Ovis aries: one gene and its partners. The protein of the gene in region 2 purifies or fractionates together with the protein of the main gene of each other region. This does not show direct contact. Links are inferred from orthologs where the notes say so. Each region holds a gene or a part of one and is shown on either strand. Other genes may lie near its edges.

The links. The genes of interacting proteins can lie anywhere in the genome.
Region 1: the proteins of STRN (region 2) and CTTNBP2NL purify together in Homo sapiens (affinity purification with mass spectrometry; 5 studies listed by BioGRID and IntAct, with this or other methods). This does not show direct contact. The link is inferred for Ovis aries from reciprocal best matches to the Homo sapiens genes STRN and CTTNBP2NL.
Region 3: the proteins of STRN (region 2) and CCT7 purify together in Homo sapiens (affinity purification with mass spectrometry; 3 studies listed by BioGRID and IntAct, with this or other methods). This does not show direct contact. The link is inferred for Ovis aries from reciprocal best matches to the Homo sapiens genes STRN and CCT7.
Region 4: the proteins of STRN (region 2) and PPP2R1B purify together in Homo sapiens (affinity purification with mass spectrometry; 5 studies listed by BioGRID and IntAct, with this or other methods). This does not show direct contact. The link is inferred for Ovis aries from reciprocal best matches to the Homo sapiens genes STRN and PPP2R1B.

What each region holds. Positions count from the first base shown.
Region 1 is NC_056054.1:89,886,175-89,892,546, forward strand, and holds part of CTTNBP2NL (CTTNBP2 N-terminal-like protein), read left to right. Parts: intron 1-798; coding exon 799-1,029; intron 1,030-4,570; coding exon 4,571-4,678; intron 4,679-5,890; coding exon 5,891-6,372. UniProt on the Homo sapiens protein: Regulates lamellipodial actin dynamics in a CTTN-dependent manner. Associates with core striatin-interacting phosphatase and kinase (STRIPAK) complex to form CTTNBP2NL-STRIPAK complexes.
Region 2 is NC_056056.1:87,164,543-87,170,914, forward strand, and holds part of STRN (striatin), read left to right. Parts: intron 1-887; coding exon 888-1,063; intron 1,064-2,849; coding exon 2,850-2,897; intron 2,898-3,683; coding exon 3,684-3,805; intron 3,806-6,372. UniProt on the Homo sapiens protein: Calmodulin-binding scaffolding protein which is the center of the striatin-interacting phosphatase and kinase (STRIPAK) complexes.
Region 3 is NC_056056.1:95,262,404-95,268,558, reverse strand, and holds part of CCT7 (T-complex protein 1 subunit eta), read right to left. Parts: intron 5,910-6,155; coding exon 5,857-5,909; intron 5,506-5,856; coding exon 5,334-5,505; intron 3,272-5,333; coding exon 3,107-3,271; intron 2,371-3,106; coding exon 2,182-2,370; intron 1,459-2,181; coding exon 1,361-1,458; intron 805-1,360; coding exon 672-804; intron 177-671; coding exon 1-176. UniProt on the Homo sapiens protein: Component of the chaperonin-containing T-complex (TRiC), a molecular chaperone complex that assists the folding of actin, tubulin and other proteins upon ATP hydrolysis.
Region 4 is NC_056068.1:21,771,318-21,777,689, forward strand, and holds part of PPP2R1B (serine/threonine-protein phosphatase 2A 65 kDa regulatory subunit A beta isoform), read right to left. Parts: intron 3,281-6,372; coding exon 3,048-3,280; intron 2,762-3,047; coding exon 2,614-2,761; intron 1-2,613. UniProt on the Homo sapiens protein: The PR65 subunit of protein phosphatase 2A serves as a scaffolding molecule to coordinate the assembly of the catalytic subunit and a variable regulatory B subunit.

The DNA.
Region 1 (6,372 bases), on a different chromosome or scaffold from region 2:
CACCAGTCCACATTCCCCGCTCAAGTTCCCCAAGCCCTGAAGGAGACAGGATGGAGATGAAAGACAGCAGCCGGACGGAGGCTAGAAGAGGGGGTGGAGGGATTCTGTCTGCAGCCCTAGTGCCGAGAGCCTCCACCCTCTTGACCCATCAGCAGTCGAGTGAAGTTCTATGTGGAGAAATCACAACCAGTCCTCGATTATAATGTAGAATTATTTTTAGCATCCTTTACTTACCTATGGTCACCTTGTTAGGTCTCTAAATCTGTAAACTCATAAAGATATTATGTTTACCATATTTTAGAAATGCAAATGCCATAACTCAGCAAGGAAAGATAAGATATACCCATTGGTAATACAAGCATTCATAAGCTGAGGCAGTAAGCATGGCAGTTCAGGTCACAGACTTTAGAGCCAGGCTGCCCAGAGGGGTTTAAATCCCAATTCTGACAACTTGCTAGCGGAGCAACCTGAAGCAAGTCACTTGACCTCTGCATAGTAATTTACTCATCTGCAAAATGGAAATGATAGCACCATTTTAAAAGTCAAAGTAAAACTTAAGGTAATCTGAATCTGAACACTTGGATCAGCATCTAACATGTAATTAGCACTGTATAAGTATTTGTTCTCATTAGTATGCTGTGCCCCTATTCTGATGCTGTATCTATACTTAGATGGCCCATCTGATTTGTAGTCACAGGTTACTTCATACCAACATCACCACCTTTGATGTCTAACTGCTAGCAAATCCCCTCTTCAGTAATATTTGAAAGCAAAATGCTTATTTTCCTTCTTTCCCAGGCCCAACACAGAGATACTTTCATTGAAGAACGCTATGGAAAATACAACATCAGTGATCCTTTAATGGCGCTCCAGAGAGACTTTGAAACCCTGAAAGAGAAGAATGATGGCGAGAAGCAGCCAGTGTGCACGAACCCGCTCTCAGTTCTTAAGATGGTGATGAAACAGTGCAAGAACATGCAGGAGCGCATGCTGTCCCAGCTGGCTGCTGCTGAGAGCCGGCACCGCAAGGTGGGTGACGCTGACACGAGCCCGCAGGCTCCTGTGACAGCTTTCTAAATAGTGCCTGATACTTTTCTGTCAGCTGCCAGGTCTCATGGTAGTTCAACTGGGAGGTCTCACAGGTGTCCAAAAAAAAAAGAAATCAGCTTACCTAGGAGCCAGGGGATAGAAAATGCAGGTTATTCCAAAGGTTAAATTTAGGGAGTATGTCAGACACATTATTTTAGATGACATTCCTTCTTGATACGACACTCCAAAACACTTGGTTTGTTTTTTCAACTCTTGATCACCCAAACTTTGGCAACAAACTGGGGCTTGACCAAGCCTTGTAGCTGAACAGAGTGTTCTCTATTTGCTTACTTAAGTGATAAATAGAAAGATTAATAGGTATTTGGGTATTTGGGGAATGCTGTATCAGAGAGAGAGAATTTACCTGACTGTAAACATACAAGCCAATAGATTATTTTTATTAAATTTCTGGTTTTGAGTTTCATTGCATTTTACCTCTCATGAAACCATAAACAGTCCCTACGGTTGTTTACCTTAAAGCTGTTCTCTATTAGGAATGTGTGTGTGTGTATGTGTGTGTCTGTCTGTCTGTCTCCAGGTCTTACAGCATCTAAGATAGGACCTGTGCTTTCCTCTACCTCATCTCATAGGAATTCTTCTAGTGCTTGTGATTTCATTCCCCGACTTGTCATTTATAGCTCACATTTGGCCTGGAAAAGATGCTTGGCTAGAATATGCATTTTTAAGAACTGTTGGTTTAGATTTATATCAACAAGGTGGGGGGACATCAGTGCATTTAGTAGGAAGTGTTTTATTCAGAAAAAATTGGGTTAGCAGCTGCAGTTTGATAGATCTTCGTTTACTTTATGGTTACCTGCTTTAGAGAGCCATCTGCTTAAAGTGCATCTGACAAAGTGCTTAAGGTCTTAGGTCTTGCCCACAATTTTTCTTTCCCTTCACAGAGTCCAAACAAAAAGCCAGAATGGGAGTTCTTAACCACAAATAGGTCTCAGATGTTCCATGACCCCCCAGAAAATACAGTGAATGCCAGAATTTATGCATTTTATAGAAAATGAATTTTTTTTTCCTATCCTTACTAGAATTCTCAGAGTTCTCCAAGACCCAGAAAAGTTTAACCTCTGGTTTAGACTGAAGTAATCTGAAGACATTTATGCTCCAATTTAAAAGATGTCACTGAGTTAGGGTTAGTTGCCTAAATTTGGGGGCTTTTACATATTATGAGAAAATCTACACAACATCTTTATTTAATAGACAAGCCTGTTTTCCACTTCATACCTAAAGTAATTGAGTGGTACTGAAGGGCTGGCTGGCTATCAAGCCTGTTGAAGTAGTGTTGGGATAATTTATGGTCCTAGGTGATTGGGGAGAAAAAGAGTTAAAAATTTCAAGATTTCCTAATACTATATTTCAGTGTAAGATAGCATTAAATGTTTTAAATCACTGCCTATCTATTCTTAAGTGTTTTATCAAAGCAGAACATTGACTTCATTAGACATCACATAGTACCTAGAGGCTTATAATTAGCATGCATATAGTCCCAGTTTTCCTGAGAGAATTCCAGTTTAAGCCTGGTGCCTTGGCAGAGTTGTTAACGATACCCACTTTGGCTCTTAGACATATTAGTGATTTAAACAGTGAATTACATGGTTACTCTGCTTAGATCAGCCCTGGGATTTCTTTGGAAGGAATGATGCTAAAGCTGAAACTCCGGTACTTTGGCCACCTCATGCGAAGAGGTGACTCACTGGAAAAGACTCTGATGCTGGGAGGGATTGGGGGCAGGAGAAGAAGGGGACGACAGAGGATGAGATGGCTGGATGGCATCACCAACTCAATGGACGCGAGTCTGAGTTAACTCCGGGAGATGGTGATGGACAGGCAGGCCTGGCGTGCTGTGATTCATGGGGTCGCAAAAGGTCGGACACGACTAAGCAACTGAACTGAACTGAGTCTACCTCTTCCCATTCCCTCTCTTCCTCAATATTAGAGACAACCACTTTTCTTCTAATGTGTTATTTTGTTAGCGAACTTCCATATATTTTTTCCATATTTCTAACTAATACATTGCTCTCTCACTTTATCAGATAATTTTAGACACTTATATTTACTTCCTTTTATTATAGATGTGGATTTTTAGCACCCCACTTCCCTTTCCTCTTCACCCTGCCATCTTCCCAAAATAAAAATAATCCTCTTTCCTCACCTTTATTCTCTGTCATATCTGTTATTACCAAATCTGGAGGCTGTCACATTCTGTCTCTTCAGAGTATAAACATCTGGTGTATTCCTGGGCGGTAGATGCCTGGCTGGGCATTCTGTGTACAGGAATCAGGTTGAAGGGACAGGTAACTCTTGAAAATACACACAGCTGGACCTAGTTCCCTTGTCTTCCATCCCACACCTTACCTCTTCTCTGCAGTGTCTGCCACCTGCAGATACCCCTATGTCTTTTGGGTCCTACAGGGCAAAACAGCTTCCTCCCTCATACCAAGTAGCTACCATCCCTCCAGCCTCTTTCTTTCTTCAGAATATTAAAAATTTGTCTGCCAAAGTCTCTCTTTTTAGGGTTTTTTTTTCTTTTCATCCCATTTCTATAATTTTAGACGCCTCTCTGGAAAGGAGAAGCCAAAATCTTTTTTTAACCAGAAGGAAATAAACCAGAATGTTTTCATTTTTGTATTTAAAGAGGAGTCCCAGAAAGTCTTCTTCCTCCATTCATAACAGTTGTTAGTGAAGACAAACGATGAGAAATGGCCATGGGGATGGCAGTGCTCTGGCTTGGGGAGGTCTGGGCCAACCCACCTCTGAATCATGAGCAGAAGCTATGAAGAAATCCATAATTATTGGAATAGTATGCAGTTGTAGGCAGGATTATGTGGGGAAGTGCCCCTTTAAACCTGTACCCTCCTTAAAGTTGGGCTTAATTGCTTGGCACCAGGGTAAGTGGAATGGGTAGACAGTTAATTAAAAGGCCTTCTGAAAAATCTCGACTTCAGATCTCAATAATTAAGCCTTCTCGTATGCAGGATGAAGTCTAGAGAATCTTTTTACTCCTTATCTAACTGTATATAACACGTATATAATAATTAAGCAAGACACAGTTAGGATGTCACCTATTTGAAATGTTTAATTTCAGGCTTCATTCTCTGGTACCTCCAGTGATTTGAGCATCACGGGGAAAGCCTCAGCTTTCAGCTTTCCATGAATCTGCCTTAGTTCACCTGTCCCCTAATCCCAACAAACTTATTAATTCTCTGAAACCTTTTCAGTCCCTATAGCTAATGAGTTCCTCTTTTCTGTTTACATGCCACTTTGTGTGAGGTAAAGTATATATTGTATTTTTTCTAGAACATATCTTTCACCCTTCTAGACAGTGTGCTCTTTGATGGCCCTGACTAAGATTTACTTACTTATTTATCTATGGAATATGATCTTGGATGTTTAGATAGGCACTTACTGTTACATTGTATTCTAAGTGTGAGTCCCTATATTTGGAAATGATTTTTTTAATTCTTTAAAGGTAATCCTAGACCTTGAAGAAGAAAGGCAGAGGCATGCACAGGACACAGCTGAAGGCGATGATGTCACCTACATGCTGGAGAAGGAGCGAGAGCGGCTGACTCAACAGGTAATTAAGGTGGAAGGGCTCAGAGCAGCATTTGCCTAGAGTAGCATTTCCTGAAGATTATTCTGCAGGGTATAAATTGGTGTTACTCAAAAAAAAAGGGCTTTGTGATCAGATAACTCTGGGGATTACTGTATTAAACAAAGTTAAAGAAGCTTCCCTGGTGACTCAGATGGTAAAGAACCTGCCTGCAGTGCAGGAGACCTGGGTTTGATCCCCGGTGTTCATGTTTGATCCAGTGTTCATGCCTGGAGAATCCCATGGACAAGCTACAATCCATGGAGCCACAAAGAGTCAGACACGACTGAGCGACTAACAAACAAAGAGGTTTCTAACTTCAATTGTTTAGACTTTGTAGTATGCCAAAGCATGCTGTGAGTCTTCAAGATTAATATAGGGTAATCTGTGTTTAGCAAATCTATATTTTCATAAAATCTGTTAATATAGATCATTCACTATGGACCATCATTCCATAGAACACACTTTGGGCAACACTAACTTTGAACTCTCAAAACTTTTTTTGACTTAGGACTCCTAGTAAAAAATACATTTTACATCACATACACATATATACATATGCTTGAAACAAAAATCTCATTAAATCATACATAACCCTTACTGCTTATAATACACATTAATATTTTCACTTCTGTTTCATTTGTTCACATCCTTAATGACTCACTAAATGGTTTCCCCATCCATTCATGGGTCTCAGAGTTTGAAAAACACTGACTAATAGGGTTCCTTGAACCCTTTCCCTCTCATTTTGTTCATTAAGTAGGGTTGGGATGATGGTTAAAGCCAATGGCATTTGTGTAGAAAAATGATTCATATGCAGCTACTTATGTTTGTTTGTCTTTAAGACCAGAAAGAATTATTACTGAAGCTTTAAAGGTTTTGTTTTCATCAGCATTCATCACAAAATCCAGTTTATATGGCTTTCTGCTTTCTGTTTTGATTGGTTCTAATCCTCTGAACTTTCCACAGACCTAGAACACAATGACAATTCAGATTCCCACTAATAATCCTGAGACAGTAAGAACTAGAAGTGGCTCCTAAATCATCAAAGCAAGATTAAGTCGTCGTGTGTACATTTTTACGTTAGGTGTTGTAATACTTAAGAAATAGTTGATGTAAGCACATGGCATGTAACAGTTGTCAGTGTCTCTTTGTTTCCTTACTCTAATCCAGATGTGTGGTGGCATTCTTTTGCAGTTGGAATTTGAAAAGTCCCAAGTGAAAAAGTTTGAAAAAGAGCAGAAGAAACTCTCCAGTCAGCTGGAAGAGGAGCGCTCCCGCCACAAGCAGCTGTCCTCCATGCTGGTCCGTGAGTGCAAGAAGGCCACCAGCAAGGCCGCGGAGGAAGGCCAGAAGGCAGGAGAGCTGAGCCTGAAACTGGAGAAGGAGAAGAGCCGAGTGAGCAAGCTGGAGGAAGAGCTGGCCGCCGAGAGGAAGCGGGGCTTGCAGACGGAGGCCCAGGTGGAGAAGCAGTTATCTGAGTTTGACATTGAAAGGGAACAACTAAGAGCAAAGCTGAACCGAGAAGAGAACCGGACCAGAACTCTGAAAGAAGAAATGGAGAGTTTGAAGAAGGTGGTGAAGAATCTAGAGGCTTTGCACCAGCAAAGTGGCCCCAGCGAGCAAGTGAAGAAACCAGTAACCGTGTCTAAAGGCACGGCAACTGAGCCACCCGTGCT
Region 2 (6,372 bases):
TTGGAGTGTGAAGTTCATCCATGGTGCTTGTGTAAAGTCAAACACTATCCTCTTTAGCTTTTCTATTAGTTGGAATGAAAAAACAGTGCATTATTTTTTCAGTTATTGAGATTGAGATTCTGTGGAGAAAGTGAAAGTCACTCAGTTGAGTCCGACTGTTTGTGACCCCATGGACTGTAATCTACCAGGCTCCTCTGTCCATGGGGATTTTCCAGGCAAGAATACTGGAGTAAGTTGCTGTTCCCTTCTCCAGGGAATCTTCCCAACCCAGGGATCGAACCCAGATCTCCCGTGTTGCAGGCAGATTCTGTACCATCTGAGCTACCAGGGAAGCCCTCTGTGGAGAAAAGGAACATAGTAAATATATAATTATGTTCGTAATATCTGATTGTCTTTTCCAATTTTAACATTTTGTTGTCAGTATATAAACTTCATTACCAATTTGAAGAAAATTTAGCTCTTGTCTGAAACCACTGAAAACTTTGAAAGTATCATCATATTCTGTAATGTTAACATGCTTAAAGATAATTTAGTTTTTCAACTCTTAACCAGAATTGCTTTATATTCTATAATTCAGGTTTAAATCACTTGTCTTTTTAAAAAGCATCCTAGTGAAATTTTGTTTTTTGTTACTAAGTTATTTGATCCTCCTTCTATACTGAATTATGTATTTTCTTATTATAGCATTCATATTTCTTCAAAGAAAACCATTGTTGACATATTGCTAATTTTGCCTATTGATTTGGTTATCTGCTTAAAAATTACATTATTTTGAAAGTTGCAAAATAATGGTAGTTTAATGATGAAACAGTAAGAATTAATGCTGAAATACAGTTTTTTCCCTCATTCTGAACTAAGTATATTGGTATCTTTTTTTTCTTTAATAGATAGCAAATAATAAAGATGCATTGAGGAAGACATGGAACCCCAAGTTTACATTAAGAAGTCACTTTGATGGTATTAGAGCTCTCGCTTTCCACCCCACTGAGCCTGTTTTGATAACAGCATCAGAGGATCACACGTTAAAAATGTGGAATTTGCAGAAAACAGCCCCAGCCAAAAAGTGAGAATATTCTACTTTAACTGTATTTGAATAATTTAATTAATATTTTTCAGCAGAGAAAGCCTTACTTTATTATTTGCTGTTAAATTCCTCAAATATCTCTTCTAATTTTTTTCCTTACCATGTTATGTAATTTAGGATGTTTTTGCCTTCATACTCATAAGCTAATTTAGGTTGAAAAACTGACCCTTAGGGAGAAATGGTTTGTGAATGCTGATTATAATCTTTATTTGGTGTTTTAAATAACTTAAATTTTGAGAACCCTTTGTCTGCGCTGGAGGTTTCTGTTGTTGTAAGCAGGCATAGTCATGTTTAAAACCGTCAAACCCCAACCCCAATCCTTCCCCATTGTTTACTAGGTTTGGCCTTATGCTGGAGCCGGTGGGGGCAAGAGACCTCTCTTTGATCCTTTCTTTTGATCTTGACCAAAATGTCTAGACTGAAGGGGTACTGTTGCTGCTCTCACTTATCTGCTAAACTTCCCTTGGCCCCTTGGTTCCTCTGTAAGCACGGACAGACATGAGTTGGTATAAACCCCTTTTATCAGTCACCAAGCTAGTCCTGATCCCACTTGGTACTTTCTCTTTCTTCCTTGGATTACGTGGTCCAGAACCCAGCATCTACCAGCAAGGGCCCTTCTACAGTGATAGATACCTCTTTTTATTAAAGAGTAGAAATGAACGTCAAATGGAGGAGAGGACAGAAGTTTTACTACTGACAGAGAATATCTCCTGCCCAATTTGAAAACAATCAGTGACATTCCAGCTGTCACACCTAGACGTTCATCAGACAGCTCAACTGGATATTGCTAAAACCAAGTGAATCTTCATGTAGATCAGGTGTCTTTAACAGAGAAAGGTATTTCCTGGTTACAAACTGTGCCTTTTGTTCTTCAAGTTCTTTAGTTCACAGTGGGCATCATATTAGATGAGAGAATGTTGAGTATCTCATCATATATTCTTGACTGTAACTTTGAAATATATTGAAATTTCTTGCTGGTGGTAGCTTAGTAATAACACCTTCACAAGCAAGTAACAATAGTCTTTGTTTACCTTTGAACTTAAAACTTTGGAAATGAGGAGAGCTATCATATGCCTATTAAAAAAAAATCTGTAATACAATCCAGTTTCTGTTCTCAGTATGGCCAGCATAAGCCATGTAGAGTACTCATACACTCAGTGTTCTGAGTAGTGAATAATCTGTTCTGATGTTCAAATCTAATGTGGACAGTTTCTGCAGGTATTCAGGACAGACATGTTAATCTTTATGGAAATGCGAGGAAATTAAAGTACCTTTGATTGAAATTCTGTTCTGTATGGTTCTGTCCTACGCTGTTTTACCGTGAAGAATCTCATTTAATCTTGTAAATATTTGCTGTTATCCCTATTTTTATATTTTATATTAAACATAGAGGAATCTAAAGTTTCAAAAGATTAAATAATTTGCCTAAAGTTAGCCAATTAGATACAGAACTGGAAATTAAATCCAGAAATTTATGTCTTCAAAACCCTTCTGTTTTCTCTCCGAGTGAGGCTCTTTCTCCCTTTAATCAAATAGATTAGGACAGTGCTAAAAGTGCTGTAACAGTTACTAAAGAATTTTGTTTCTTGAAGCCACAGAAATATGTGATTGATGTTAGGTAGGCTTTATTGTGTCCTGGGGTTGAGAATTGTATATTACCATAGTGTTGATATTTCTAGGGGCGTTTTTATGACATACATTCAGTCATACTGTTTACTACTGACTTTTAGAATGATAAAAACATCCTCCTTTCTCTCTGATTTAGGAGCACGTCTCTTGATGTGGAGCCTATCTATACATTCAGAGCTCATAAGTAAGTGTGTGCTTTTTCTTTGTGTTAAATCAACATCATTGTAAATCAGCCTGATTAGTATATCTTCTTTCATGTATGTATTTGTCGTATGTGGTATTTTTATTGTATTTGGTAGCATTTTTTTTGTAAATGTAAAAGAAAGTGGCAGATAATGTAATGTTAGTGACAAGTATATCACTACCAAATAGGGATCCTTGCTGAAATTAGGTATTATTCGCATGATGTTTAGATGATGTATATATCTCTCTCTTAAAATGAAGTTGACGCAGTTAAGTTTAACTATTAGAAATCCTGATCTTTTTTTCCTTAAAGATAACCTGGTAAAAATACCTGAGACATTTAAAAAATCGTGGCCACATTTCATGCTTTTCCTGTTTCCATTTAAGTTTAAGAAATGTACCTGTTCACTCGATTGAGCACAGAGGTTGGCATACGTTTTATATTTAAAAAGGGTTAGATAGTAAATGCTTTTCAGGCTGCATATTTAATGTTGTATATTCTTGCTTTTAGTTTAGTTTTGTATTATAACATTTTAAAAAGGTAAAAACTGTAAGTGCTTTAGGATTGTACAAAACCAGTTCACTGGTTGGATTTGATCCACAGGCCATAGACCACTAACCACTGGTTTAGCAGAGGAAGAAAAATGAATAGTGCTTTGGTAAATTTTTTATTTGTTGTACAAAATAGAAAAAGAGAAAGCCATTTGAAAAACCAAGCATTCTTATTTCTAACTCATTGTAATACCAAATAGATTTTTTGAGGATGGAAATTGATTTTTTCTCCCAGAGGTCCAGTGCTTTGTGTGGTGATGAGCAGCAATGGTGAGCAGTGCTACAGTGGTGGTACTGATGGACTGATCCAGAGCTGGAACACCACTAACCCCAACATCGATCCCTATGACTCCTATGGTATGTGACTCCCCCAAAATATGAAGGAATCACATAGTTTCTTTTTATGCATTTTATATTGCATATCTATGGATAAAATGAGATGGTTTTGAAAATAAATTTATTTTGTTAAAAAGGGTTTCTATATTTGGGAATCAATTTGATATATATATATATAATATGCTAAAAAAAGAGGGAAAATAATGTATTTTTCCTGCAAAAAGAGTTCCCACCCCCAAGTCTTACTGATTGAAAATGCTGCCTTGATTGACAGTTGTTTTCTTCATTTGTAGGCATGTGTACAGTACTTGACACATTATTATTAATCTGTAGTCATACTTTGTCACTACTCTTGACAAATAATTTTGAAGGAAAATGAATGTTGGCATCATCGTCTTGATCAATTATTACAGAGTGTAGAGGCTAATGATTTTCAAAGTGTATAACACCAATATATTTAAAAGACTTTTAAAAATTAAAAAGTACCCTTTAGATTTGGAAACAGCACCATGAATCAAAAAACTGTAGGATATATCACTAGATATTATCATAAATTCTCTTTCAATTATTTTGATTTTCTCTTTAAATTCTCCATAAATTCTAGAATATGAAGTGTCATATTTGTCATAAAACCATAGTTTATTTTTATTACCATTTTAGATTAATTTCATCACTAAACCTAAGATAAGAAATTCAGTAACTAAAATATTCTCCCAACATTTATTTAGTAATCATTTAACGTATTTTGTGAAAGATAACACCCTCTCCTGCTGCAGTTCTTTTCTGGATTTCTCTGTTTCATACTTTTTGTCACTTCCTTTATCCCTCTTTCAGAGATTAGTTGATCTCATTCTGTCCCAAGCCAACTCTTTCCCTTTCGCTGTTGACCTCCTTCTCTTGTTTCCTTTGAGACTGCACTGTCTTTCTTTTTTGCTGCCTCTCTCTTTTGCACTCATCTGAAGCCTTACCCTTTTTGCTCTGTTTCCATCCCCTGAGCATATAGTAAATTCAAGTTTCTCCCATCCTGGGCAGGAAGAAGCCTTTTGTGACTCCATTTCCCTCTCTGGTTCTTTTTTTTTTTTTTTTAATTTTATTTAAATTGGAGGCTAATTACTTTATAATACTGTGGTAGGTTTTGCCATACATTGATATGAATCAGCCATTGGTGTACATGTGTCCCCCATGCTGAACCCACCTCCCTCCCCATCCCACCCCTCAGGGTCATCCCAGTGGGTGAGCATCCCCGCCCTGAGCACCCTGTGTCATGCATCGAACCTGGACTGGTGATCTGTTTCACATATGATAATATACATGTTTCAATGCTGTTCTCTCAAATCATCCCACCCTCGCCTTCTCCCACAGAGTCCAAAAGTCTATTCTATACATCTGTGTCTTTTTTGCTGTCTCTCATATAGGGTCATTATTACCATCTTTCTAGCCTCTCTTCCTTCCCATGTCTCTTTGGTCTGCTGCTTCTAAGTCGCTTCAGTCGTGTCCGACTCTGTGCGACCCCATAGACAGCAGCCCACTAGGCTCCCCCGTCCCTGGGATTCTCCAGGCAAGAACACTGGAGTGGGTTTCCATTTCCTTCTCCAAGGCACGAAAGTGAAAGTGAAGTCGCTCAGTCGTGTCTGACTCTCAGTGACCCCATGGACTGCAGCCTGCCAGGCTTCTCCATCCATGGGATGTTCCAGGCAAGAGTACTGGAGTGGGGTGCCATTGCTTTCTCCACTCTTTGGTCTAGAAAACACAATTATAAGTTACTGATTCCATGTCTTTCACTGTACATCATTCCTTTTCATTCTGTCTTGTGGCTATGCCACTTAAATACAAAAAAGTATCAATAGCTATCTAACTGGCTGATCCAAGGGATATTTTGCAATTCTTATTTTACTTGATGTACTGGCTATCTGAAACTGTGGACCACTCTATCCTTTTTGAAATCTTTTCACTATAGGCTTTTTTGACACAACTCTATGACAGTTTCTATTCCCTATCCATCATAAATTCCTTTTATTTTCTCACCTGAAAATACTGACATTTTTTGAGGCTAGACCCTAACTCCGGAGAAGGCGATGGCGCCCCACTCCAGTACTCTTGCCTGGAGAATCCCAGGGACGGGGGAGCCTGGTGGGCTGCTGTCTGTGGGGTCACACAGAGTCGGACATGACTGAAGTGACTTAGTAGTAGCAGTAGACCCTAACTCATTTTTTGCATTGTACACATATTCTTTGGTAGACTGAATCCACTTTGTGGTTTTATATATTGTTGACTCATCAATCTCTTTTTTAAGCCTGAGGCTACCTACACAGCATTTCAAAATGGCTGTCTTATTGTCCATAAATCCCTACAGCACTTTTTCTTCTTCCATATATTCTTAATTTTTTTGGTCACAGCATGCAGCTTGGGGGAATCTTAGTTCCCCAACCAGGGATTGAATCCGTGCCCCAGCGGTGAGAGCACCAAGTCCTAACCACTAGACTTATTAGGGAAGTCCGTTTTCAAATATTCTTTGTATATTCTCTATCAGGTGGCAGCACTACCAAACTTATCTAAACTAGAAATCCAAGAGTTATCCTTGATTCTTT
Region 3 (6,155 bases), about 8.1 Mb from region 2:
ATGTTTGTGGCATCAAAGCCAGCATTGTCACAGAGCTGGCGTGGGATAATTTCCAAGGCCTTGGCATAGGCCCCAATCAGTAGCTGCTGTTTTCCTGGAATGGTTCTTGAGTAATCTCGCAGGTACTTGGAGAGCTCCATCTCGATGGCGCCACCACCAGCCACCACCGAATCATTCTGCAAAGACCAGACTCACCTCTAAATTCAAGGAGCTCCCTCTCTAAGCTCCAGCCATGGCCAAATTGGACCACTCAGTCAACAGGACCCCTAGCCTAGAAGGAGGGCTGGCTCCTCACTCCCTCCCCCAGCCCAAGCCACAGGAAGCCAGGACATGGACCACGCCTAGCACATCCCAACTGCAATCTGGTGAACCATACGGTTTCTGACCCTCTTCTAGGTCATCTACACCTTGAGGGCACTGGCACAATCCCTGGGATGGCTGACTCCATCAGCTCCACAGGTGCTCACAAGAACAAGTCTTAGCTTTTAAGGTAACATGACTTATTTTGAGAGACTGAGGATGTTTCTTTATGATCCATGAGACAATCAGAGCCCACATGCCCCACATGGAAGGACAGGTTATACAGGAAAGGGATCACCACACAAATCCAGGGTTGCATCAGCTCAAGAGGCAGAGTAGGCTGTGCAGGCTGGAAGCCCCCGGTCTAGTACCTTGATGGCCCTCCTGACAATCATGATGGCGTCGTGCAGGGACCGCTCCGTCTCCTCCATAAATTGCTCTGCACCACCACGGAGGATGATAGTGCATGTCTTGGCCTTAGGGCAGCCAGTGAAGAAATTGTACCTACACCCAGGATCAAATTGTATCTGTGAACTCTTTTCTGCTGCCAACCCACAGTGTTCTGACCTCACCAAGTCCTCCCAACACTCAGCAGCTGCTCTTCTGTCCCTCACTAAAGTTCTCCAAGCCTGCCCTTAAAGGCGTGTTCTTGGGAAGGTCTAGGGCTGTACCACAGGGGCATAAAAGACTGTGGAGTCAGACTGTAGCCCTGATTTGACCTTCTTTCTTCCTGAAACACTTTATATAACTGAGCACTATACACCCCAAGAGATTAAAGTCTCAGAAGACAATAGCACACGCTACTGTAACCTGCCAGCTCCTCTGTCCATGGGATTCTCCACGCAAGAATACTGGAGTGGGTTGCCATTTCTTCCTCCAGGGCATCCTCCCCACCCAAGGACCGAACTCGCTTTTCATTTCCTGCACTGGCAGGCAGGCTCTGTACCTCCAGTGCCACCTGGGAGGCCTGTTATATATACGCCACAAACCAAAGACAGCAGAAGGCCATCAGGCAAGTCTCATGAGCTAAGCAAACAGGGAGCCCAGGCCTACCACTTACCTCTCGCCTCCAATCTGCGTCTCTTCAAAGACCTGGCAGCGGCCCAGAACATCTGATGACAGCGCATTCACACTGGTCTGGATGGAGCCTCCACAAGCCTGAGGAACACAGGACAAAATCATCTGGCAGTGACAGATCACATGAGGTGGGACGCAAGCATCCTGCTACCTAATTTTAAAGCCAACTGCCATGTTAGACTGCCACGGTGCCCCAGATACACTGGATGAGCCACTCTCACCCTTGACCTCAAGGCTCCCTCTGGAAGAGGAGAAAACAAAACAGAATGAAGACACATGAAGGGCAAACAAGCCCAGTTAGAAAGCTTTACCCAATACTCTCTTCCCTAAACTAGAGTGCTGAGTGCAGTGACTGAAGTCATGATCAGTGCTTTAAAACTTAAAGCACCTTGGCAAGATGCTTAAGAAGAAAGGGAGGAGGGCCTTCCTTAGCAGTTCAGTGGTTGAGACTCCATGCTTCCAGTGCGAGGGTGCAGGTTCCATCCCTGGTCAGGGAACTAAGATTCCACAGGCGCAAGATGCGAAAAAAAAAAAGAGAGGAAACCCGGCCTGCAGCATCAAGACTGGAGTCAGCCAGCTAATCGCAGCACTGCTGCTAGGTTCCCTCACAAATCAGCTTTCCTGACTTGTTTGGTTAGATTAACTCTTATATAGTAAGTATGCACACACTAGAACTGAAGTGTTTTATGACAAAAAGAGTTAAGAAGACAAGCCCAGATTCATATACCACTCCAATACACTAGGGGTAAGTGAAAACCCCTGGGTCCAGAAAGACCTAAAAGCAGCCTGAGAAAGTTTGGTTACCATCATTGTCCTCTTCAGATCCTCCTCTGGCACTCGGCCAGCACAGAACATGTCCCTGTCAGCGAAGTACTGGGTGGCTACATCCCCGATGGGGAGTTTGGACAAGACGACTTTGGCTCCGGAATGATGGATCTTCTCTAACTTGTCATAAAGAATGTTCCACTCAGCATCAACAATTGCCTGATAATCCTGAAGAGACCCAGAAAATATTGATTTATTTGTGAATTAACAGAGGATAAACAGAACAGACTCCCCTCAGTTCAAATAAACAAGGACCCTATAAGGTAACTTAGGAACCATCTACAACTTTCAAACACAAAAGCAGCAAGGAATCTGAGCACTGGGAGCCACTCCAGAGCTGGTATTTGCTAAGGTGTGAGGCAGTCTGGCCAGCTAAGTTCTAGCTCCTCTGAGGCACTGCACCCATGGAGTCCCCAGTGACAAGACCTTTCCTTCAAAGGCCATTCTGTGCTGGGGATGGATTTTCCAAGAACAGCTGCTTATGGCTGGGTGACCATGCTACATCCAAAGAGATAGCCTTGCTGATACCAATGTTGGGAGCACACCAGTCCCAGCAGCATGGGACACAGTCTAGAATGGCAGAGCTCACATCTACCCAAATAAGAGGAATCAAAATACAGGGCTCATTTTATAGCTGAAAGCCTCCTGCAAGCCCCTTCCCCAGGGCCAAAAGATAATGTTTCAGCAGGTTTGCCCTATCCAAACCTCCTTAGGTCCAGGTCAGAGAGAGTAGAGTGAGAAGAGTGGGCCTAGTATTTAGACATCAATACTTAGGGGCATCGGAGGGGAAAGGAGCCCACAAGGTACCTGAGAAACAACGCTAAGCCCGAAATGACCACCAAGGCCCAAGGCTTTGGCCCAGAATGCTGCCCATTTTCATGCCGCTGCCAGCGGGAGGACCTACCTCAACTGTGTGGACTCTGATTTCCGCATTATCTTTCTCAGCTTTCAGCTCAAGCTCAACATTTAAAAGGGCAATCATTGGATTATGGTACTTTTTGGGTTGCATTTCAAAGCCAGCATAAGAGAAAGTCTTCTTGAATGCGACGCCAGCGACAAGCTGGGACTCCTGTTTAAAAAAATCAGATGGTTCAACAGTTCAGCACTGGCATGAAATAAAATCAAGTTAGTGGTGTGCTGGACTAACGCATATCCATTTCTGTGAACCTGAAAGGGTTAATTATGTTTTTATTCCACTACTGTAATGAAGTTTTTCCATCATCCTAAATGCTAGGAAAAATATGAAAACATATTTTGGTTGTCCCTTCAGGATAAGGAAAACCACTTAGCTTGCAGATACTAAACATGGGAAAGGCCTGTCTGGGCTGTCCTTTAGGACTGACCCTCCAAAGCACACGTGCCAAGGGATGCACTGTCCTTCCAACTCGACACCTCCCAGTCTTCACTGCACATAAGTACACATATCCCTCCCTACCTGTACTGCACGTGAGCGTACAAACACCTGTGTGCTGTAGCCTAGATGCTTCCTCTCTTTAGGAAATGAAAATAAAAGGTCATAACAGTCAGAAATTTCCCGCAGTTCTCAAGTTATCATTGTGGCTTCTCTCATCTTAATCCCTCAAAATATGAACTACTACACCACTCATTCCAAAACAGAGCTTGCTGCGTGGCAGATTTAACATAAGGGCATGAGAGAAAACACACAGCACTTGGGAGTGACTTTAATACTATGAGAAGGCAGGCTCAATCTCAGATCTTATTAAATGACCTAGTCATTTCCCACTCCATAAAGAATGGTATATTCAGGAAGTGAAGTCAGAAAGAAAAAGACAAATAGCCTATGATATCATTTACATGTAGAATCTAAAATACCACACAAATGAACCTCTCTATGAAACAGAAACACTCACAAAGTGAACAGACTTGTGGTTGCCATGGAGGTCGGGGGTTGGAGGAGAAATGGGTTGAGTTTGGGGTTACCATGCAAACTACTAGACAGAATGGGTAAACAAAGTCCTACTCTTCAATATTCAGTGATAAATCATAATTGAAAGGAATATGAAAAAGAATTAGGTATGTGTTAACAATCACTTTGCTGAACAGGAGAATTAATACAACATTGTAAATCAACTATATGTCAACAAAATAACAATTGCATTACCAGGACAAAGGACTAGTAAAAGAGACAGACTGAACGTATGTGTGGCTCGCAGCCCCTGGCTTTCTCACCAGTTAAAATTACAGTTCTGAGCCCTAGTTTAGTGAATGCCAATTTAATCTCAAGGGTTTCTGGAACAGAAGATGGCACACTGAGATCAAAGCAGTATGTAAAGACAATGTCAGCAAGCCATGACATAGAGAATGGGCTGAAACACGCCCATCTGGGGGCCAAAGGCATGGGAACGGCTCAGATGACTTTCAGATTCTTTACAGCTTTATTACATAAAGGGAATCTCATCCCACTCTCGTGTGCCATGACAGGAAGAAGAGGAGGAGACGAACAGAATGGAAATGCAATTGTGTTGTGCATATACAGTAGACACTAGCCACTATTTTAATTTAAATAAGTGAAAAAATATGTTGTTAAATAAACAAAAGCCAGTTGCAGGACACTATGCATTACAGGTGAGCATTCGTTTCAGAAAACAATATTTACATTTATACTTATAGATGCACAGTCTGGAAGAATACACACAGTTAAGAGTGGTTTCTGGGGCAGGGGAGGTGTAGGAGACATTTCTGTTTTCCTTTAGGACTTTCTATACAGCTTGACTTCTGTACTATCTGTTCAAGATAAATGAATAAAAGAAGGGAGAGCCTGCTTGTACCACTTGGAGAAGAATATACTGAAAAGTACTTATATTTATTGAGAAGGTTTCAGATAATTTATCAGAGCTAGCCCTGTCCCCTCAGACATTAACACTGAGATTCTGAAAATCAGCCAGTTCACCCTTCGATTCTGCTGACAAGTAATACAAGTCTGTGGAGGTTACAAAATGCACCTATAGGAGACAGCTTATAGCCACAGTATGAGGAACACAGCTTCAGTCTGGCTTTCAGCCCGAGTGCGCTCTCTCTATTCCTCTAACGTGTGCTGTCCTCCTAAGCCAAGCTGCCTACAGGGTTGATGTGAAAGCAAGAGCCTCCTAGGGAGGCCTCGGCAGGCTCACCTCTAGGGCTCCACCTTGCACCTTCTTGATTCCAATCATTTTAAGCTGCAGCAAATCATCAAGCATCATCACCGCGTCCACCACCATCTTAGCGAAGAAGGCTTTCTGCTGGGAGATCAGCTTGGAGCTCAGAGCAGTCATGGCACATTTCTCAAGCAGCTTCCTCTGCTCCCTGGGACACAAGGGTGGGACCTGCATCAGGCCTTGAAAGCCCCTCTTATCGGACTCTATTGCAATGTGGAGATGGTTTCTATTCTAGCCTCTAAATTCAGCCCTCAACCTTTGTCTTCTGAATCTTTAGGGCAGATTACCAGTGACAGATGGTAATTGCAGTCAAAGACTTCATGAGTGACAGCTTTTCAACTGCAGTCTACAGCCACTCTTGTACTACACGGACTGGGGTACAGCAAGGGGTTTAGCAAGAGCCAATCAGCCCCAGTCCATGCAGGGTATTCCAGCACGCTTCTGCATCCAATCTGGCCATGGGAAGTCAAGGTTCTGACAAAGTTCACTGCAAACTTACACTTTATCTTCCTTCTTCACAGTCACTGCAATCTCTTTGATCTTGTTAACTGCCTGCCAAGAACAGAAACTGGGTGAGTCTCTCACATTAAAAACAAACTGGAAAAGTGGATCCCAATCTCTCTTGCTAGTCCCTAATCTTTACTCCCAAATCTTAAGTATTTCTACTCGATAGTCAAAATACCATTTCTAAGTCTTTTGCTGCCCAGAAAAATATGAAGCTCTAGTTTAGAAAAATGCCCAAAGTTAGAACTGTAGAGCAGGCACAGAACAGCACCAGTGACAAAGTGCAGGCCAGAA
Region 4 (6,372 bases), on a different chromosome or scaffold from region 2:
GTTCAAGTTTCAGTTTATGGCACCTCTTCATGGCCGTTCTCTGACTGGCCAGTCTAAAAGAATGCTTATATTCACGCCCCACCACTATGGTACCCTATCCAATTCCCAACAGTTTTTACGTTTATTTGGCTGCACTGGGGTCTTAGCTGCAGCATGTAGGATCTTTTGATACAGCGCACCAACTCTCTAGTTGTAGCACAAGGGCATAGCAGCTGTGGTAGGAAGGCTTAGCTGCTCCACAGCTGATCCAAGCATGCTGGATCTTAGTTCCTTGACCAAGGATCAAATCTATGTCCCCTGCATTACAAGGCAGGTTCCCAGCCACCAGGGAAGTCCCTCCATCATCGTTTTGATCCCTAATATTTTATCTGTTTACTGTGCTTTCTTTCATTAAAATATAAAGGGCACAACAGCACGGTCCCTCATTTAACACTGAAAGCCAGCATGAAGAATAGTGCCTGATTCACAGAATGTACTCAATAAATACTTTCTCAGTGAATGACTAAGAAAGGAGCAGCAATTCTATCAGTGGTCACAGTGAATACACACACACGTTACAACTAAACAAATAATTCTTTCAGCATCCATTGCTGTTAATACCACAACAAGACATGCCTCTTGATGAAAAGCAGCCTCCATCTAACAAAGTGATCTTACTGCCCCCAAAATATCAAATCAGCTCTCATTAAGCCTCTAGATCAGGGCTGAGGCAGATATTGGCCAAATATGGAAAGCAGCTAGTTTCTGTAAATAAAATTTTCCCAGAACAGCACCATGCCCGTTAGTCTGCATATGACAGTGTGTGGCACACAACAGCAGAGCTCTGTAGTTACAACAGAGACTGTCTGGTCCACAAAGCCTAAAATATTTACTATCGGGCCCTTTACAGAAAAAATTCACAAATCTCCACTCTAGATTCAACTACCAATTTTGCAGGACAAAAGAAAACATTGCGTTATACCATGGGAAATGTAATCAACAAAATCTCAAATAAGGATTCTAAACCTGTGCTCTCCAATGTGACAACCATTATCCTACTTACTCCCTACTTCTGAGCGCCTGAAACACAACTAGCGCCACACATTCTAATGGTAGTTACTCTGGATATACTGGGTTAATAAAATACATTATTGAAATCAATTTCACCTGCTTTTCACTTTTTAAACTATGGCTACTGTGAAACTTAAAATTAACAGGTAGCTTACATTGTATTTCTGTTAGATGGTGTTGTTTTAAACCATACTTTATGAATAGTAAAAATGCAAAGAAAAGTAAGGAGGTGGTTACCACAAAAATCAAGAAACAGTGTTACAGTCTTAAGGGGGTAGGGAGTAGGAACTGGGAGGGGAGTGTGTTTGGGAGGCAGATCATGCTGGGCTTCCTGGATAATGGCTATCAAAGTTCTGTATCCTTTCACAGACGAAAGTTACAGGATAACATGCCTTGTATTACTTAAGATGCATATTCACTTTGTACTGCTTTGTATATATTATTTTAACAAATTTAAAAAATTATTTTGAAAGATTTATCATCTTCAAATCTAGAATCTGAACATGAGACTCAAGGTATGTATCTGCTGCTCTGGATCCTGTAAACATACAGTGATCTGAGGGCAGAACTAGGTAAACTGTTCTTCTAGCGTCCAGGAACTCAGGGCGCTGATTCTCCAAAGCACCATAAGAAGAGCACTACAGCTCAGCAATGAAGGTCACAACTCTGGAGCTAAGCTGCCTAGACTCAAGTCTGCACTCCAACACTGCTCACTATGCAACCATGAGCAACTTACTCCAATTTCCTGTGCCTGTTTCCAATTGGGGCTGTTGTAAGGGCTGAATTACTTCACATATGTAAACCACTTAAAACAGGCTGAAAAAGATTCATTTGGGTGCTTACTAGCATATTATTATTGCTTTTTGCTGTTATTTAGTCGCTAAGTCATGTCTGACTCTTCCGCCACCCCATGGACTGTAGCCTGCCAGTCCCCTCTCCAGTGAGATTTCCCAGGCAAGAATGAACACTGAAGGGGGTTGCCATTTCCTTCTCCGGAGGATCTTCCCAAACCAAGGATTGAACCCGCGTCTCCTGCATTGGCAGATGGATTCTTTACTAGCACTGAGTCACCAGGGAAACCCATTATTATTGCTAATTTCTACACTGATGAGATGGAGATTCTTGGATTTATAACTGCCCTCATACAAAGTTATCCCATACACTCATAGAGAGGATGCAGAGGGTCAAAGAGCCTTCCCAATACATGCTATGCTTGTTTACCTGAATGCCAAAATTCCAGGAAACATTACTGTCCCACAATAACTCAGCCTGCAGTACCCAAAGGTATAGCTACTCTTTAATGTGGCTTTGGTCTTCCTTCCTAATTATGGCTCCCAATTCCTCAACTCCCCTTCAACAGATGCTAAATGGAAAAGGAAATCACAGTTTGGCTAAGAAAGAACTATAAGGACACTGGGATGGGTAATCTTAAACTTTAGCCAGGCCAGAATTAAGTAATAATTCTGAAAAAAAATGATACTAACATGAGAACCAAAACATCCAAAGAAATTCTTCAAATGTAAGCGCATATTTGTGTACTTTAATTACTAAGAGTTAACCTACCTGTTCATCTGAAGCTAGATTAGTAAACAAAGGAACGATTTCACTTTTCACACTGTCTAATTCCAAAACTTTTGCAAATTCACCCAATTTGGAAGCAGCAGCACGGCGTACCATTGGTGTGTCGTCTGAGCACAAGGAACGGAAGTACCTGCAGCAAAATAATGAAGGTATTTCCTGTTACATGCCACTGATTAAGCATCCCCCCAACACATACAGAAATTTCAGAGGTTTTCTCCTACGAACATCAGGCATTAGACTTCTACTCACAGAAGTAACAAAGGAAAACCCACTGGTACCTTCACCTGGACATTGGTAACTGTTGTCATCGATCTGACTACCCTGATACCAGCCACTCACTGGTAACAGGGTAGTGTGTATCCTGTCAGCTGTGAGCTTCCAATAACCCCAAATAACTAAAAAATACCATATCTTACTGTCTAATTTCTCCTTTGACAGCAATGGAAGCCCTGGGATAGCAAACGCTGAACAAACCACATGCGGATGTGCGAGAGGTGAACCAATCCCCACTCGCTAAGCGTTTCACCAGAGGTACGAAGTGAGCCTCCAGAGCCACTGGCGTGTGCTCCTGCGAGATCTGCCTCAGGGACTCCACAGCCTTGTCTCGAACCACAGTCTCTTCCACAGTTGCCAGGCTTTCCAGAGGAGGCTGGATAGACCAAAATGGAAAACCAGAGAAAACTTACTCAATCAGGTTAGATACAGATTATCATCTTTTAAAGTGACTGAAAGGAGGTGGGACAAGCAACCAGAATGTTAGCTACATCACACCAAACAGTTACTCTCAGTTCACACGGTGATGGCATATGCTGTGTCCAACCTGAAGACACGATTTCTGTAGGACAGCCAAGGTTTCCTGTCCCAGATGGCAATTCCCAGATGGTGTCTATGAATGACATGGTAGAAGAGACCTGACACGATATTAATATCACTGTGAACTGAATCACTCAATTTAAAGGCTGTGTAGCCAAATTCGACAGAACCATGTGTACTTCCTCAAAAGTGAGTGCAGAAACATGACCACCACGGGGCACCACAATTACAGGAGAACCCCGCATCAGGACACCGAGTCCACGGCGTCTGGAGTATCATTCTACCGTTCCTGGAGGTGGAAGCTACCTCTGTCAATTCACTCCGCACCACTGACTTTTCCAAACTATTAAAGGCTGAGTGCAAAATTACTTTTCTCCGAATACACCCAGAATTTTTCCATGAGCCAGACACAGAGTGGGACGTTATGAAAGAACAATTAAGTTAAAGGTACAGAGACAGTAGGAATCCTTGCCTGCAGCTTTAGAAACAGTAGAGACCAAAGGGGTTGGCCCTGACTAGGATCAGTGAGTGAGCAGGGCACAGACCAGGGAAAAGTACAGAGGGCAGATTCTCTGAACTGCTGCTCTTCTGGGTTTGCACTCAGTCCGGGCAGATTCAGGATAGAGCATGAAGTGCCAATGTTAAAGACAAAAGCCACATGTAGAACTGACCAGGAGAGTGAAACAGAATTATGAGTCAAAGGAAACAAGGGAGTCTACATAATACATTTCAAAAATTATTTGATATAAGGTACTCAGCTTTCCTAAGGGAAATTTCAGAAGCCCTCTGAAAAGATACTGTTTTCTTAAAAGCAAAGGCCTTTCGAGTTCTGTCCACTGCCTTCTCTGACCTCCTCTCATGCAGTATCATTGATAATCTCTATCACTACTACGGAAGAGCAAGCTCCTGTCTCTTGATTAAAACTTGGCCTATTTCTCCATGACCTTTTCCCACAGCCCTGGGACCACCACTTCCGCCTACTCTAGCACCAACACTTTATACTGCAATCAACCAGTTTCACACTTCCAAGGCTCCTAAACTCTTTCTTTTAAAATGATAATTACTTTTAAATTCTAGCACTGTGGAGAGGGAAGAAATAAGGCCATGATTTCTTTGCGCTAGTTTACTTTTAGGAGGGGGGGTGTCTTTTGACTTTTCTTAATTTTTTAAAGATTTACTTATTCAAGTACAGTGGTCTTACAATGTTAATTTCTGCTGCACAGCAAACTGATTCAGTTATACATATATTTCTTTTCCATTATCGCTTTATCACAGGACATTGAATACAGTTTTATATTCTAATGGAGAAAGATAACAACTCATCAGGGCAATAACTAGATGGTGTTGAATGCTCTGTAAAGAGAACAGGGGGAATTCCTTGGTGGCCCAATGGTTAGGACTCTGTGCTTTCACTGCTGAGGACCAGGGTTCAACCGCTGGTTGGGGAACTAAGATTCCACAAGCTATGTGGTGCAGTCAAAGAGGGGGTAAAAACAAGGATGATGTGGTAAGGGATGAGTGGGGAAGAAATTTCAGGTTGAGAGGCCAGGGAAGGCATTGCTGAGACGCATTAAAGCTGGCATCTAAATGATAAGGAGCCAGTCACAAGAAGCTCAAAAACACATGTTATTATAGGGACTATCCAGGGCAGTAAGCTTGGTATATTCAAAGAATAGAAGGAAGACTATTGTGAATGGAATGAGGTTATTAAGAGGGAATATGATATGAGATAGGCTCATAGGGGCAAATTTTATAAACTAAGGTTCAAACTAAGGTAGAAATTATGAATTTTCTAAGAACCATGGAAGGGAGTGAGTGATCCATCTCTGGGTGAAGAGTGAACTGGAGTGGTGGGGCAGAAGGCATGAGTGGAAAGCAACTAGATTACTGCAATAATCTAGAGGAAAGACCACGTGGTCTAGAAAGACCAGTGGAAAGATGAGCTAAGTGGTAGTAGAGATGGAAGAAAGAGAACTGATTTGCAATACATGCAGAATCTACAGGAGTGACTGACGGATTTGATGTGGGAAGTGAGGGGAAACAGATTCAAGAATGTCTCCCAGGTTTTGGCTGCGCAACTAACTGGGTAGATGGTGATGCCATTTACTGCAATGGGACAACTAATTAGGATACACTTTGGGGAAAAAACTGCATTCTGTTTTAGACAAACTAAATTTGAAATGCCTGTTTCACACCCAAGTAGAAAAACCACAGCAGATATATATAACACAGATATTTATATCTTTCTACATATATCTATATCTGGAGCTCCATGGAAAGGTCAGAGGTAAAGACAGAAGTCATGAGAGTCAGCAATATAATACAGCCAATACTGAAGCCTTGAAGCATACAACCCCATCATCCTGTGCAGCTGTCAAATTCCTAGTCATCTTTCACACCCCAGTTCAGACATTCTCTCCCAAAGAGATCTTCCCCTATCACCCCGGGTTAATCCCTTTCTCTTTCATGTGCTTCAAATTTTTCCATCTAACACATAGTAATTACTTGTTGACACAAAAGGACAGAGGCCTTATTACACTCCCAAACCCTGGTGCTCACCTTTAACATGAACATTGTAACTTCAGTGACTGATATAGAAGGTTCTCAAATGAAATTCACAAAGGAAGTCAGAATCAAAAGCTACACTTAAAATTAAAGACAAAACTAATAAACATTTCCAAAGCCACAGCATTGTTAGATGAGAATTAAGATTTCCACCATAAGAGGGAAAAAAAACCATGAACAGAAACAATCCAGTCCTTTTTCTCCTAACTGCTAAAGTAACAAGTCAGAGAAGAGAAAGTTCCCACATTCACAACCAGAAAAATTAAGAAAGGTTGAGTCCAAAATGCCTACATTATTTGTTCTCTCAATAGCTAACACTGTGACTATCCCTAAAAAGATCTGCATAAAAAAATGCTGCACTGT